3 linked regions of the Arabidopsis thaliana genome follow. The protein of the gene in region 3 interacts with the protein of the main gene of each other region in a biochemical or structural test. Each region holds a gene or a part of one and is shown on either strand. Other genes may lie near its edges.

Region 1 (4,360 bases), on a different chromosome or scaffold from region 3:
AACCTTTTTGTTCACAGCCAATTATCTATTGACATGACATTAAAATCCAACCTCCTTTGCTTTTTTTTTTTTTTGCTCTTATTCTGATCTTAAATCTCTTTATCTTTTTTTTTTCTTTACGTCCATAAATTCTTTAGAACAAAACCATAAAACACAAGTTTAATGGTAAGAATAAAGGAACAAAATCACCAAATGAAAGCAAAAAAGAAAATCAAACGAAATAGATATCAGACTATTAAGAAAGAGAGACCATGGCATTATTACTATATCAATATGAAAGAGTTTTAGTTACTATTGGGCCAAACCAAAAAAATGTTTGAACACTAAAATAAGAGACAACAAACTAAGAAAATAGTCAAAGAGATTATTCTCTTCTTACTAAAGAAGGATGAAAACATCATCTAGTTCACAGCAATATCTGGAATGGAGGGTTGCCTAAACCTCCACTCCATTGAATGTGCATAAACTACTTTCAGATATGCAGTTTTGTAGTCATCCAAGAGATCAAGTTTTTTGAAGACATAGTATTGGCCAAGTTTTATAATCTACACAACAGCTATTACGAACTCACCCTTATCACCATACTCAACAACTTTTTCGGATCGACTAGTATCATTACTAAATTTGATTTGGGGTTGCTTTATCCAGTTAGAAAAAACTGATATCCAATTCCAACGAGGTCTAATATCTATTCTATAGAAAATCAAACTGTCCTATGGTATAGCAAAATGTTTAGTTGTATAGAATCTAATCTAAAGAAATAAATTATACAAAACGGTAATGTTATAAATTAGGAAAACATCTACATAGTCAAATCCTAATTATTACATAGATTGTGTTTTTTTTTTTCATATCGATTGTGATGTTATTTTGCATAAAAGTTATATGACAATAAAAACTTTTAGTATGAAATTTTTTACCTAAAAATTGGTAGACGAATGACCGAGAGATTGCCAAAGATTATAGTTAACATTTAAAATGAATACAAATACCATGTAATGATGTAAAAAAAAGTATTAAGTAATTTTGAAGTGTCATGATGCTTACAGTGAAATTTGTTTTACAATCAGTGCCAAATTTTACAACTATAAGTAAAGTTGAACGAAAATCCTAGAATCTATCAAATTTGAGCACTATTATTATAGTTTGCACTCGATGATTTACAAAATTCTTTGAATCCATGGTACATCCAACAATTATCCTCTATTACAGTTTTTAATGAAGAGAAAAATATGTAGAGATGATTTATAAAGCAAAAAAAATCAGTACATTAATAACCAATATAATATGTTGCTTCATTTTTAAACGCCAATTATAAAAAACAAATAAACAAATTTTCACAATAAAAATTAACTTCTTTTCTGATAGGAAACTAAAAAAAACTGATACTTTTAAGTTTATGATTAATATTATATATATATATATATATATAGTTTTGAATGATCGAATAAATATGTGCGACAGAAAATAAAGGAACAAAAAAAAAGGATTAGATGCGAATAATACACATAAAAAGGTAGGAAATATTAATGATTAATTAATAAAACCCGACAACCCGACCCGGTATTAATGAGCGAAAAGGAAAATATCAGAGGCCACATAAACTTGTGGCTGAGAATTGAATTGTGATGCTGACGTGTTTCCTCCTTCTCTTTTAAACTGATCTTCTAAATCCCTAAATTTCACCAATTCACACTCTCCCAAATCTCTCTTCTTTAACAACAAAAAAAAAAATCACAGAGACATAGAGAGAAGAAGAAACAGAGGCTCCAAAAAAATGATGATGGAGACTAGAGATCCAGCTATTAAGCTTTTCGGTATGAAAATCCCTTTTCCGTCGGTTTTTGAATCGGCAGTTACGGTGGAGGATGACGAAGAAGATGACTGGAGCGGCGGAGATGACAAATCACCAGAGAAGGTACTGATTGATAAAAAGTAATTTTGGCCTGAAAATTGGAATTGTCCTAAAAATAAATATGATTAGATTAGTTTTGTACTAGTAATTAACTTAACTAGTTACTTCTTCAGTCTCTGTTTTGTCTGTTTTGGATCTACAATTTGTGTTATTGAGTTACATGAACGAAATTATAACATAGTTCCAGTCTTGTGTTACCATTAAGATATTACTAGTTCATTTAGTTGTTAGAGATTATTGGTTCTGAACTTCTGATGAAGAATAATTGTTTGATTAAGATTTCATAAAGAGAAACTTCTTTTATTCATTGCAAGTGTTCTTAATTTAGTGTTTCTTGTATCTCAGGTAACTCCAGAGTTATCAGATAAGAACAACAACAACTGTAACGACAACAGTTTTAACAATTCGAAACCCGAAACCTTGGACAAAGAGGAAGCGACATCAACTGATCAGATAGAGAGTAGTGACACGCCTGAGGATAATCAGCAGACGACACCTGATGGTAAAACCCTAAAGAAACCGACTAAGATTCTACCGTGTCCGAGATGCAAAAGCATGGAGACCAAGTTCTGTTATTACAACAACTACAACATAAACCAGCCTCGTCATTTCTGCAAGGCTTGTCAGAGATATTGGACTGCTGGAGGGACTATGAGGAATGTTCCTGTGGGGGCAGGACGTCGTAAGAACAAAAGCTCATCTTCTCATTACCGTCACATCACTATTTCCGAGGCTCTTGAGGCTGCGAGGCTTGACCCGGGCTTACAGGCAAACACAAGGGTCTTGAGTTTTGGTCTCGAAGCTCAGCAGCAGCACGTTGCTGCTCCCATGACACCTGTGATGAAGCTACAAGAAGATCAAAAGGTCTCAAACGGTGCTAGGAACAGGTTTCACGGGTTAGCGGATCAACGGCTTGTAGCTCGGGTAGAGAATGGAGATGATTGCTCAAGCGGATCCTCTGTGACCACCTCTAACAATCACTCAGTGGATGAATCAAGAGCACAAAGCGGCAGTGTTGTTGAAGCACAAATGAACAACAACAACAACAATAACATGAATGGTTATGCTTGCATCCCAGGTGTTCCATGGCCTTACACGTGGAATCCAGCGATGCCTCCACCAGGTTTTTACCCGCCTCCAGGGTATCCAATGCCGTTTTACCCTTACTGGACCATCCCAATGCTACCACCGCATCAATCCTCATCGCCTATAAGCCAAAAGTGTTCAAATACAAACTCTCCGACTCTCGGAAAGCATCCGAGAGATGAAGGATCATCGAAAAAGGACAACGAGACAGAGCGAAAACAGAAGGCCGGGTGCGTTCTGGTCCCGAAAACGTTGAGAATAGATGATCCTAACGAAGCAGCAAAGAGCTCGATATGGACAACATTGGGAATCAAGAACGAGGCGATGTGCAAAGCCGGTGGTATGTTCAAAGGGTTTGATCATAAGACAAAGATGTATAACAACGACAAAGCTGAGAACTCCCCTGTTCTTTCTGCTAACCCTGCTGCTCTATCAAGATCACACAATTTCCATGAACAGATTTAGAGTTACATATGTATATGTATATATGTATGATTGATTGTATGTATAGATGATACTGGAGAATGATGAGTTTTTGAGAATCAAACTCTTTTCTTCTTTCTAGTGATTGCCTTTATTCCTTTACATGTTTTGGTTCTCTGTACACTATTTGATTTACCTTTTTTACTTTCTTTCTTCATTTGTCAGGAAATGTTGGAAGATAACATTAATGGTAAAAAGTTGGTGTGGACCGTTGTTGCGTTGGCATTTCAACCGACACTCTTCTGACTCTTCTTTTGCAACTTCTTTGTCTTGTGAAGAACAAATTTTTTGTAATCTAATTACTTTGTCTTGTTCAGTACCAATTTATATCGGGATCAAAGGGAATAATAATAAATTTCCAAGTGTTTTTAGCTATTTCCAAAGTTTTTAACATATATATATATATATATATATGCTTAGTTATTAAAATTGTTCTGTTATTTATAGTTTGGTTTATTTAATAATTTGTTTATAAAAACTCATTTGATATTTTCAATATATTATAGTTTGAAATAGCAATACACTTCAAAATCTCTTAAGCATACTGTGTAAATATCGAATCCAATAACATTTTCTTTATATTTTTGTGAAATGGGACCATCCAATTTTAATTTAAGGGATTAATATATTTGTCGAAAATTTTTCGAAATAATCATTATAAGATAATTTAACATGCTTGCTCATCTACTTATTCCCAAATTAATATTTTTTAATTTTTATAAATTTTTATCCATAAAATCTGGATAAAATTAGAAAACATAAAACAAAAATATTAGACGATAGAAACGGTTTAACAAAACCATGTTAGTTTATTGAATATTAACCGTTTTTATCGTCTAATAAAAGAACAAATGGATTGTTACTTGAAAATAAAAA
Region 2 (5,011 bases), on a different chromosome or scaffold from region 3:
AGTTCATTCAAGTTCTTTTTTTTTTTTTTTTACAATATAGTTCATTCAAGTTCTTTTTTTTTTTTTTTTTACAATATAGTTCATTCAAGTTCTTTTTTTTTTTTTTTTTTACAATATAGTTCATTCAAGTTCTAATTCGAGAATGTTCAAGTCATGTGATATATCAACGAGACTTGTTTTTATACGAAAAATGCTAATTTTAATAAAACAAAACTCAAATAACGTTTCTTTAGTTCGGGGAAACAGTCGAAAAATGATAAAATATGTTTCCTAAGAATCTTTATCAGTCGTGCCTCCAAGTGGGGATAATATAATAAATGTAATGAAAAAACTTTATTATATAGTATATATTTGTGATTTGGGGTGGTCTGAAATAAAGGTACTATATACTTATCCACATAATTGCACTTTTTCAATGTTAGACTTGGCGTTCAATTACTTCTTATCCACAATATTGCACTTTTTCCAAATCGACTTGGCGTTCATTAGTAACCACAACTTCTAACATCGACTTATTACAGCCACGTATCTCTGATATGTTGAAGATTTTATGACAAGAATATAGGCAAAAAAGAGGAAAGAAACTGAAGATCCACTATATAGTAAATACTTGTAGCTTCATTTAAAAAAAAGAAAGTGATTTCAATGTTAATTTATTTTTCCTACAAGTACCAAGCTAAAACTGTAACTAAATGACTATTATTATCAGCGTAAAAAAACACATACTCCTTTTGTTTTTTTTTTTTGATTTTCTAGAAAAAAATTGTTTCAAAAAGATTGATTTTTTGGTTTTCAATGCAATATTTATTTAGTTATAATTGATAAATTGTAAACTTCAATAAGAATTATTGAATATCATTGGTTTAGAGTTATTGAAAATTATAAATTACAAAGAATAATACATTTAAAAGCAACATTTAATATGTTTTCTTAATATTTGTGTTTTTCCTAAAAAATCAAAGAAAAAAGAACACAAGGAGTATCAATCTGTAAAATGGATTTGTTTGAAGACAAAGATTGGTTTTTTTGGGGATAAAATACTATATTTTTTTAGTATTTTAATTTTTTGTTGGATCTTCTTAGTTCTTTAAAAATGAGAAAATTAATGTTTATATCATGTAATTTGTTTCTTTCATAAATATGTTTTTTTTTTCTTTCTCTCCAAATCTAATCATGATATTGTTTTCCATGGATATGGCTATTATAGAAAGCTAGGAATTAAAAAGTGTTTCAAGGTTTTAAATATGTTTTTTGTTTGTTACTCTAAAGTTTGTTTTTTCTTCTGAAATTTCATTTATAAACAGTAATTTTTTAATAAATGTGTGGGTAACAAAAAATTTATTGACATAGTTAGAATTAGAAAACATGTAAATTAGAAGTTAAATGGCCTTTAATCAACCATTTTTACATTAATTTAAAAAAATTCAGACTTTTAAAATAAAAAAGTTAAAAATGAAAAGAAAAGTAAAAGTAAAAAAAAGTGCTGACCACTGACCAGATTGAAAAGGAAAATAAAAAGAAAGCCAAAAAGAGACGAAAAAGAGAAAAAAAAAAGTCCACAAAAACAAAAATAAACTTGTGGCTAAGAATCCTCACGTGTGATGACGTGGCACTCTGGGCGAATCAAAAGGTTGTACAATTCGAAAGATCACAAACCCAAAAAGCAAAATCTGTAAATCTTTTTTCTTTCTCTCTCGCAAAGACAAAAAAGCATTCCCAATTAACAAATCTAGAAATCAAAACTCAGACAACCACCGATAACAAGACAGTCGTTTCTCTCTCTCTTTTAAACAAATAAAAATTGGAACTTTTTTCCTCTGTCTTCTCAAAAAGTTTCCGCTTTTTGCTCGCTGGAGAAGAAAGAAAGAAAGAAGTGAAAAGGAATCATTACCATGGCTGATCCGGCGATTAAGCTCTTTGGAAAGACGATTCCTTTACCTGAGCTTGGTGTTGTTGATTCTTCTTCTAGCTATACCGGATTTTTAACCGAAACTCAGATTCCTGTTCGGTTATCAGATTCGTGTACCGGCGATGATGATGATGAAGAGATGGGTGATTCCGGTTTAGGACGAGAAGAAGGTGATGATGTTGGTGATGGTGGAGGAGAGAGCGAGACTGATAAAAAGGTTAGTTTTTTTTGGAACTTGTGAATTGATTTTGATTTGTTAAATGGAAATGATTGATGGGTTTATGTTAGATTGGTCAAATCTTAGTTTTATTGATAAAGTTATGATTTTTGGTTTGTTTATGTAAGAACTAGGTTTTCAGAGCTTTTGGGGATTCGAAAATTGTAAATCTGGATTCTCAAATGAGTTTTTTTTTTTCCTTTTGTTATAAAGTGATTTGAGATCTTAATTAGTTCCATTTGGTTTTGATTGATGGTTATAGGTTTTGATATTGATTTGCTTAAGAACTTTTCAGGGTTTTAGCTTCTCTGTGATTGGAATCAAGTCTTTGATCCCTGTAGCTTCTAGCTTCTGTTTGTTGTTTGTTTGATTAGGATACATAACAACGATCTGACTCTGGTTCTTATGTTATTCTTCAGGAAGAAAAAGATAGTGAGTGTCAGGAAGAGTCATTGAGGAATGAATCTAATGATGTTACTACTACTACATCGGGTATAACTGAAAAAACGGAAACAACAAAAGCTGCAAAGACGAATGAAGAGTCAGGTGGTACTGCTTGCTCTCAAGAGGGGAAGTTAAAGAAACCTGATAAGATTCTACCGTGTCCGCGATGTAACAGCATGGAAACCAAGTTCTGTTACTACAACAACTATAATGTTAACCAACCTCGCCATTTCTGCAAGAAATGTCAGAGATATTGGACAGCTGGTGGAACGATGAGGAATGTTCCGGTTGGTGCTGGGAGACGTAAGAATAAGAGTCCAGCTTCTCATTATAACCGTCATGTAAGTATAACATCTGCGGAAGCTATGCAGAAGGTGGCGAGAACTGATCTTCAACATCCTAATGGTGCAAATCTTCTCACTTTTGGCTCTGATTCTGTGCTTTGTGAATCTATGGCTTCTGGATTGAATCTTGTTGAGAAGTCATTGTTGAAGACACAAACTGTATTGCAAGAACCCAATGAAGGCTTGAAGATTACGGTTCCGTTAAACCAGACAAACGAAGAAGCTGGAACAGTCAGCCCGTTACCAAAAGTTCCATGCTTTCCAGGACCACCACCAACTTGGCCTTACGCTTGGAACGGAGTTTCGTGGACGATTTTACCGTTTTACCCTCCACCGGCTTACTGGAGCTGCCCGGGGGTTTCACCGGGGGCATGGAACAGCTTCACATGGATGCCACAACCCAATTCACCATCTGGTTCCAATCCAAATTCTCCTACACTAGGTAAACATTCACGTGACGAGAACGCTGCTGAACCAGGAACCGCTTTTGATGAAACCGAGTCACTTGGTAGGGAGAAAAGCAAACCCGAGAGATGCTTGTGGGTTCCCAAGACGCTGAGGATTGATGATCCAGAGGAAGCTGCTAAAAGTTCCATCTGGGAAACATTAGGGATCAAAAAAGACGAAAATGCGGATACTTTCGGAGCTTTCAGATCATCAACCAAAGAAAAAAGCAGTCTTTCTGAAGGAAGACTTCCGGGAAGAAGACCGGAGTTGCAAGCGAATCCTGCTGCTCTTTCTAGGTCAGCAAACTTCCATGAGAGCTCATAGAAAGAAGAAGAATCTAAGCAGCTGATTTGATTGTTTTTGGGTTCAGTCTTGTGTTCCAAGAAAGCAGGTGAGTCCTTTTGTACATATAGCTATATATACACACACATGTTTGTGTATATATATATAATGGTTGACATAGTGAGGGATAAGTAGTTTTTGGATTGCAGAGTGAAAGTTTGTTGTATCATAAATGAAAAAACCTCAAAACTGTAGTTAAATAAATGTATCTTGCATGAATAACTTATTTTCCCTATCATGACATTGTATGTTCACAGACAAATTCAAACAAGTTTAAAGGAACGTTTATAGTTATCCACATGATGTATGATTCTCAGAATCTTGAGAGTGATCTAACTTATTGGACTTCAGTAGTAGTGGCAGCAACAAGCTTGTTTTCGGCATCCGCGGAGGAGCGAACCACTGTCTTCAACTTCTTAGATGACCGCGATGTCAAGTGTTTACCATGGTAAATCAGGTTTGCTTTAGTAGATGTGTAGTCATTCTTATAACCAGTCCAAAAATCACCCAACAAAGACATGAACCAAGTCTCGAAAAAGCAAGCCGCGATCACCAATACTGCGAAAATAACGCAAACACAGCTTCTTCACTGCAAGCAAATGGTCATGGTTGATGCATGAATGGAGAGTCTATTGACAACATACATAAGCAAAAGCAATGTGGTAGATGCATGAAGAGAAGATATTGCAAGCTGCCAACTACGGTTCGATATTTGTATAATCTAGGATTAAAAATATTAAAGAAACCACACTAAATGGATTGACAAAGTCAGCTATATCAGAAGATTTATCGTCTATTGACCAAAACAACCAATGAAAGAACATTTTGATACTATATTAAGAGATAAGTAGTAAATTAATATAGAAGAAGTTTGTGAAAAACGCCAAAAGAAAAAGAAAGCCACTACCTTGTTTGTTCAGTTGCAATTTCCAGGAAATTTAGTAAGGAAATTAGTTGCAATTGTGACATTAAATTCGTGTTAGTCTTTTTCATGACTAGAACAATAAGAGTACTATTGAATTAGTCATCGTTTAATTGATTTCTTACGTTTGGTCAAACAAGTCACGGATTATGGTGAGAAAACGATTACTTAATTGTGGAAATTAGCTATAAGAAATTTTCCTTTGCTTTTTATGTTTTTCTTAGTCTACTTGTTTGTCTCGCTGCCTTACTCTTGCAAAATTTATACGAAATTTCGTCTGAATATTTTACATAAAGTAAAGTAAGTATTCATATGAAATTTGTATCAAAATTTGTCAAGACTAGTAAGAATGAACTGAACCACACAATACAACAATTCAAACCATG
Region 3 (4,689 bases):
ATATTCTGCAGAGCTGCTGGCCGAAGTGGGTTAACAAGGAGTACACAATGAGATGAGGGAGGAGATGTGACTAGTTCTTGTGGTCGTATCAGTTTAAACAAGTAAAACCGTTATAGGCTGGTGTGATTTTTAAGCTCTTTTTAACCTTTATATCTCTTTTTTATTTCTCTTGCTTTCCTTTACATCCTCTGTGATTTATTGAATTACCATAGAACTTAAGGATGAAAAAGATAAGTATGCTTTCTGACTTAGATCGGCTTACACTGCTTAGCGATGACGACAAGAAAAAAGGGTGGAGGGAGAGATGTTTGACATTTTCGCATAACATTTTCTGTCCTATGGAAGTAGTTTGTTTGGCTGTATAGGTTTTAGCTCTGTATTGAAGTTTGTGTACTTTACTTTTTCGGTTTCTTCATTCTATTTACTTGAGGTGTTGTGTGATTATTTCTACTTTTGGGTTTGTGGATATATATATATATGTCCAAACTCAGTGTCTTCTCTCTTTTGGATGGTACGTCAAAAATCAAATCCTGCATGGTCGAGTAACAAGGAGAAGTATATTATAGAAGGATCTTCATACAGCAAAACCATTAACATTACATGAATATCTATCTAAAGCGTACAACAATCACTAATTTACTATGTACACACGCTTCTAGCTTCTGATATATCTCTTCTACATGTCGTAAGAGTTTGGAATGTGACAGATACAAAACCACAAACCAAATGAAGAAGGAAAGAGTCTTTACAGATCCGAGTCTTGCCGGCTAGCCAAGCAGAGTTCATGTAATTCATTGAGTATCCATTCCTCACCAGTGTGACCACCAAGGACCAATACTCTAGTTCCTCCAACAACGCATGTGCTATGTCCCCAAGCTAACTTAGGCGGTTTCCCGGGGACATTCAGGATCCTCCATGACGGTTTCTCTTCTGCAGGATCTATTAGAAACAGTTGCGAAGGAGAGTGAAGCCCTGCAATCGACCCTCCAAAGATGATGACCCTACCACACGGCATGCTCACAGCCACATGGTCTAGTCTTGGAGGCGGTACAACCACGCCTGGGAATGCGCTACACTCAAGCTCTCTCCATCTTGGTTCTTCATCCTCCAAGTCTATAGTGTATGCCTCCCCTGACCTTAGCTTTAGATGACCACTATTTGCAAGCCCGCCAAACATTAGGATTTTAGTCCGACCAAAGACCGATAAAGAATGCCCAAGTCTAGAAGGAGGAGCCCATGATGTCGGGATCTCTTTCCATGTCGGTTTATCTGTTGTCAGATCCAACAAGAAGGTGTCGCTGAGAAGCACTCCAGCGTCTGTGCAGCCACCTGAGACAACCAGTTTAGAGCCCTCAATGGTGCACGAGCTGTGCCAAGATCTTGGCAATGGAGGAGTTCCTCCTGCTACTTCCTTCCATGTGGGATGCTTAGCGTCTAGATCAAGCACAAATACATCATTAAGCAATCCTTGTCTTCCACACCCTCCAAAGACTACCAACCACGACCCGTTGAGACACGAGAGTGTGTGTCCCCAACGTCCTGGAGGCGACGACGTCACCCTCACACGCTGCCACTCAGGACACTCTGCATCAAGATTGAGAACAAAAGTATCATCCAATGGCTGCATGTTAACCCCTTCCCCACCAAATAGCACAAGCCGGTTCCCAACAGCACACGCGCTGAAATTGCAGCGGGAAGGTTGTACAATCCCTCCAACAGTAAATTTACGCCAACACACAGCTTCAAGAGTGGTGAGCTCTCTAGCTAACCGACCCCATCTTAGCTTCTTAGTCATAATCTCCAGTGTTCCAGTTATCTCTTTTCCCCACGCATTCTGACATACCATCTTCCTCACACTCTCGTTCTTCGTCAACTGCCTCAACCTCCTGCAAGCAGAACCAATTGAAGCAACGTCCCTTGGAGTTAACCGAGATAAGATGTTATGAGCCAAAACTTCATCAGATAGCTGCAATATCCCACAGAAATCTTCATGATGCTCCTTAAACCTCGGGCTTCCACTTGGAAACAAGCACTCAGATGTTTGATCAAGCTGTTGTTTATGTTTGAACACAGGATACGAGACACGGTCAAGGTCTATAGTCGTTTCAGAGAAGACCTGTATCCCAATTACGTGTGTAATGGTTCCATCATCGTCACGTATTGGAGCAAGCCGTAGTCTGTTAACCAAAGGAGTACCATCTTTTCTGAAATTAAGAAGCTCTCCTTGGAATTCAATACCTTCTTCAAGACATCTCCTAATCTCAGATACAACCACAGGATCAACCAATGGGTGACGCCTTTGAGCTCGAGGATCTCTGTACTGTAGGAATCGACTGAAACCAAGCAGATTCAACCACAAATGCAGCATTATTCAAGAGAATTGATAACAACACACTCCAATTCAAAAAGGGGGAAATCGGAGAAATTAATATACCAGTTACGACCAAGAACTTCATCGGCACGATAGCCAGTGAAGACTTCGAAGACTCTGTTGACATAGATCAAAGGAAAATCTGGCTCCAGAGCATCGGAAACAATGAACGAAGGCGGAGTCATTGGGTAATAGAACATCCCAACCTCTAACGGAAGCTTCTCATCCTCTACTTGTTCTTCGATTCCATCGTTACAGTATTCTTCTGCTTCTTCAACTCTGCCGCGTTTCTTTCGTTTTCCGGTGGCTTCTCCGATCGCATGTTCTCTCGCCATTTTTCTCGCTTACAGAAATATCTTCTTCTTCTCTGATAAGCTCTCAGCCTTATGATATTTTATTTCTTTTTGTGTCTGTTTAAACTTTTAAAATATCTTGGCTTAGTTGGTGACTTATTGACGAATATACCCTTTATATTTAAGACGAGGCAAGAAGTCTTCGCGCCAGGAGTTGGTGGCAATTTTCGTAATTAAAAGGATATATCAGGGGTATGTTTAAAAAAAGTAAGTCTACTCTTGTTCGATTGTAACACGTCACCAGGGGATATTCCGAGAAAATATCTAGCCTACTCAACCACTCGCTTCTTCCACGTCATCATATTTTGTGAAAGATATTTGTTTTTTTTTTGAAGATTGAGATTTGAGGGAAGATATTTGTTTTTGTTTGTGAAGTGTTGGAACTTGGAAGTTGGAACGCAATTGGAATCAGATTCACGTAACCGTTGACTCTGGTCAAATAATAGATATTTTTGTGAAACGCGATTCTCGAAAAGGTTACACATAATGTTAATGTAACAAATTGAGTTTTCGTGGTGAGTGGAATGGGATGATGAGACAAGGGAGTTTTTCTCCCCAGTTGAGAAAATTCAGATTTAGCTCTAAAACTTCCCACTTATATAAGTTTCTAAACAAAAAAATTACATTAGAAATACGAAAATGTACGTAAGTAATGTAAATATGTAATAATTGATAGCAATAGTGGCCATAGACCCCACATAGTGGCATACTATGAGAGTAATAGAGTTAAGTGTAGTCCTAAGATTTACAGAAGTCCAGATCTAGGCCCATACTAAATAGCTAGCCCACAAAGCCCACACAAAAACTTAATTTGAACCAAATAAATAGACAACATATTTTTTTTATTTTTCTTAACCGTGTGAGAAGGCTTCTGACCATAATCTTTCAAGTACATGAAATCAACCTTTACATATTCCAATTGTGTTCAACCAAAAAAATATTCCAATTTAAATAATATATTTCCATTCCAAAAAACTAAACACAAGAAAACTAACCCTTTTGGTATATAGACAAAATAATTGTTTCATAGATTTATCTTTTTATTTTATCTTTAATTTCTATACAATTAAAGGTAAATTAAAGGTAATTTCTATACCACTCCAACATTTCCTGTTATGTTTCATTAGCTACTTCAAGTTTTAGATTTATATCGGGTTCACAAGACGTCAATAAATTACATTCCTTATCACCTCAATAAAAAAAGTTATGATTTTTTGTTTTTCTTATTTTTTCTTTACTTTTTGATATAAAAAAAAGTTCTGGCTTTTGTTATGTAATTTGATTTTTTGAACACAAACAATCGAAACTCAAACATCTTTTTGGTGGACTAAAACCCAACAACTTTTTTTGATTGATGAAAAAAATAACATTCATTTTTGGAGAATATAAATTCAGGGAAATTTATAATTAATTAAAGGTATTGAGGCTCTATCTATTGCCAATACTTTTGGGACCGCTTGGTTCATCGCGAAGACAAAGAGACATGTTCAAAAACAATGGTACTCATCGCACCCCTGTCACTAGAATAATAGCCACTAATCCTAGTCTAACATTGGCCGGTCTGGTCTTTTTCTTTTTAAATAGTTTCATGATTGTCATCATCTCAATTTTTGTGTAAGTTAAGTTATGAGTTAATTAATGACAGAAATAGAGCGAGCAATAGTTTCTTTTGAAGTCGTGAAATGTATAACATCAATATAGATCCAAGTATGATTTTTGACCACATCCAAATTACAAATTAAAAACAAAAAAATTCTATAAATGTTTCGAATATTTATATAAAAACAGACGAAGAAAAATTGAAGTTTTGAATCATGAATGAAACAAAATCGTGCTAAGCAAAACAATTTAAATGGTTGGTGTACTGCATGTGCTTTAACGTGAGCAGTTTAATGAGAATTAGGGTTCCACATGTTAATATATATTTATAATGTTATCACAAAAATATATTTGTAATTTCACAGC

What was found. The genes of interacting proteins can lie anywhere in the genome.
Region 1: the proteins of FKF1 (region 3) and CDF3 form a complex in vitro, tested with the Arabidopsis thaliana proteins (one study listed by BioGRID).
Region 2: the proteins of FKF1 (region 3) and CDF2 form a complex in vitro, tested with the Arabidopsis thaliana proteins (one study listed by BioGRID).

What each region holds. Positions count from the first base shown.
Region 1 is NC_003074.8:17,503,382-17,507,741, reverse strand, and holds CDF3 (cycling DOF factor 3), read left to right. Parts: upstream 1-1,617; 5' UTR 1,618-1,777; coding exon 1,778-1,918; intron 1,919-2,260; coding exon 2,261-3,466; 3' UTR 3,467-3,859; downstream 3,860-4,360. UniProt on the Arabidopsis thaliana protein: Transcription factor that binds specifically to a 5'-AA[AG]G-3' consensus core sequence. Regulates a photoperiodic flowering response. Transcriptional repressor of 'CONSTANS' expression.
Region 2 is NC_003076.8:15,877,028-15,882,038, forward strand, and holds CDF2 (cycling DOF factor 2), read left to right. Parts: upstream 1-1,698; 5' UTR 1,699-1,892; coding exon 1,893-2,126; intron 2,127-2,545; coding exon 2,546-3,685; 3' UTR 3,686-3,752; exon of another isoform or gene 3,753-4,054; 3' UTR 4,055-4,510; downstream 4,511-5,011. UniProt on the Arabidopsis thaliana protein: Transcription factor that binds specifically to a 5'-AA[AG]G-3' consensus core sequence. Regulates a photoperiodic flowering response. Transcriptional repressor of 'CONSTANS' expression.
Region 3 is NC_003070.9:25,506,754-25,511,442, reverse strand, and holds FKF1 (flavin-binding, kelch repeat, f box 1), read right to left. Parts: upstream 2,805-4,689; 5' UTR 2,707-2,804; coding exon 2,435-2,706; intron 2,334-2,434; coding exon 746-2,333; 3' UTR 536-745; downstream 1-535. Other genes in the region: MAP70-1 (microtubule-associated proteins 70-1), read left to right, coding at 12-51. UniProt on the Arabidopsis thaliana protein: Component of an E3 ubiquitin ligase complex that plays a central role in blue light-dependent circadian cycles.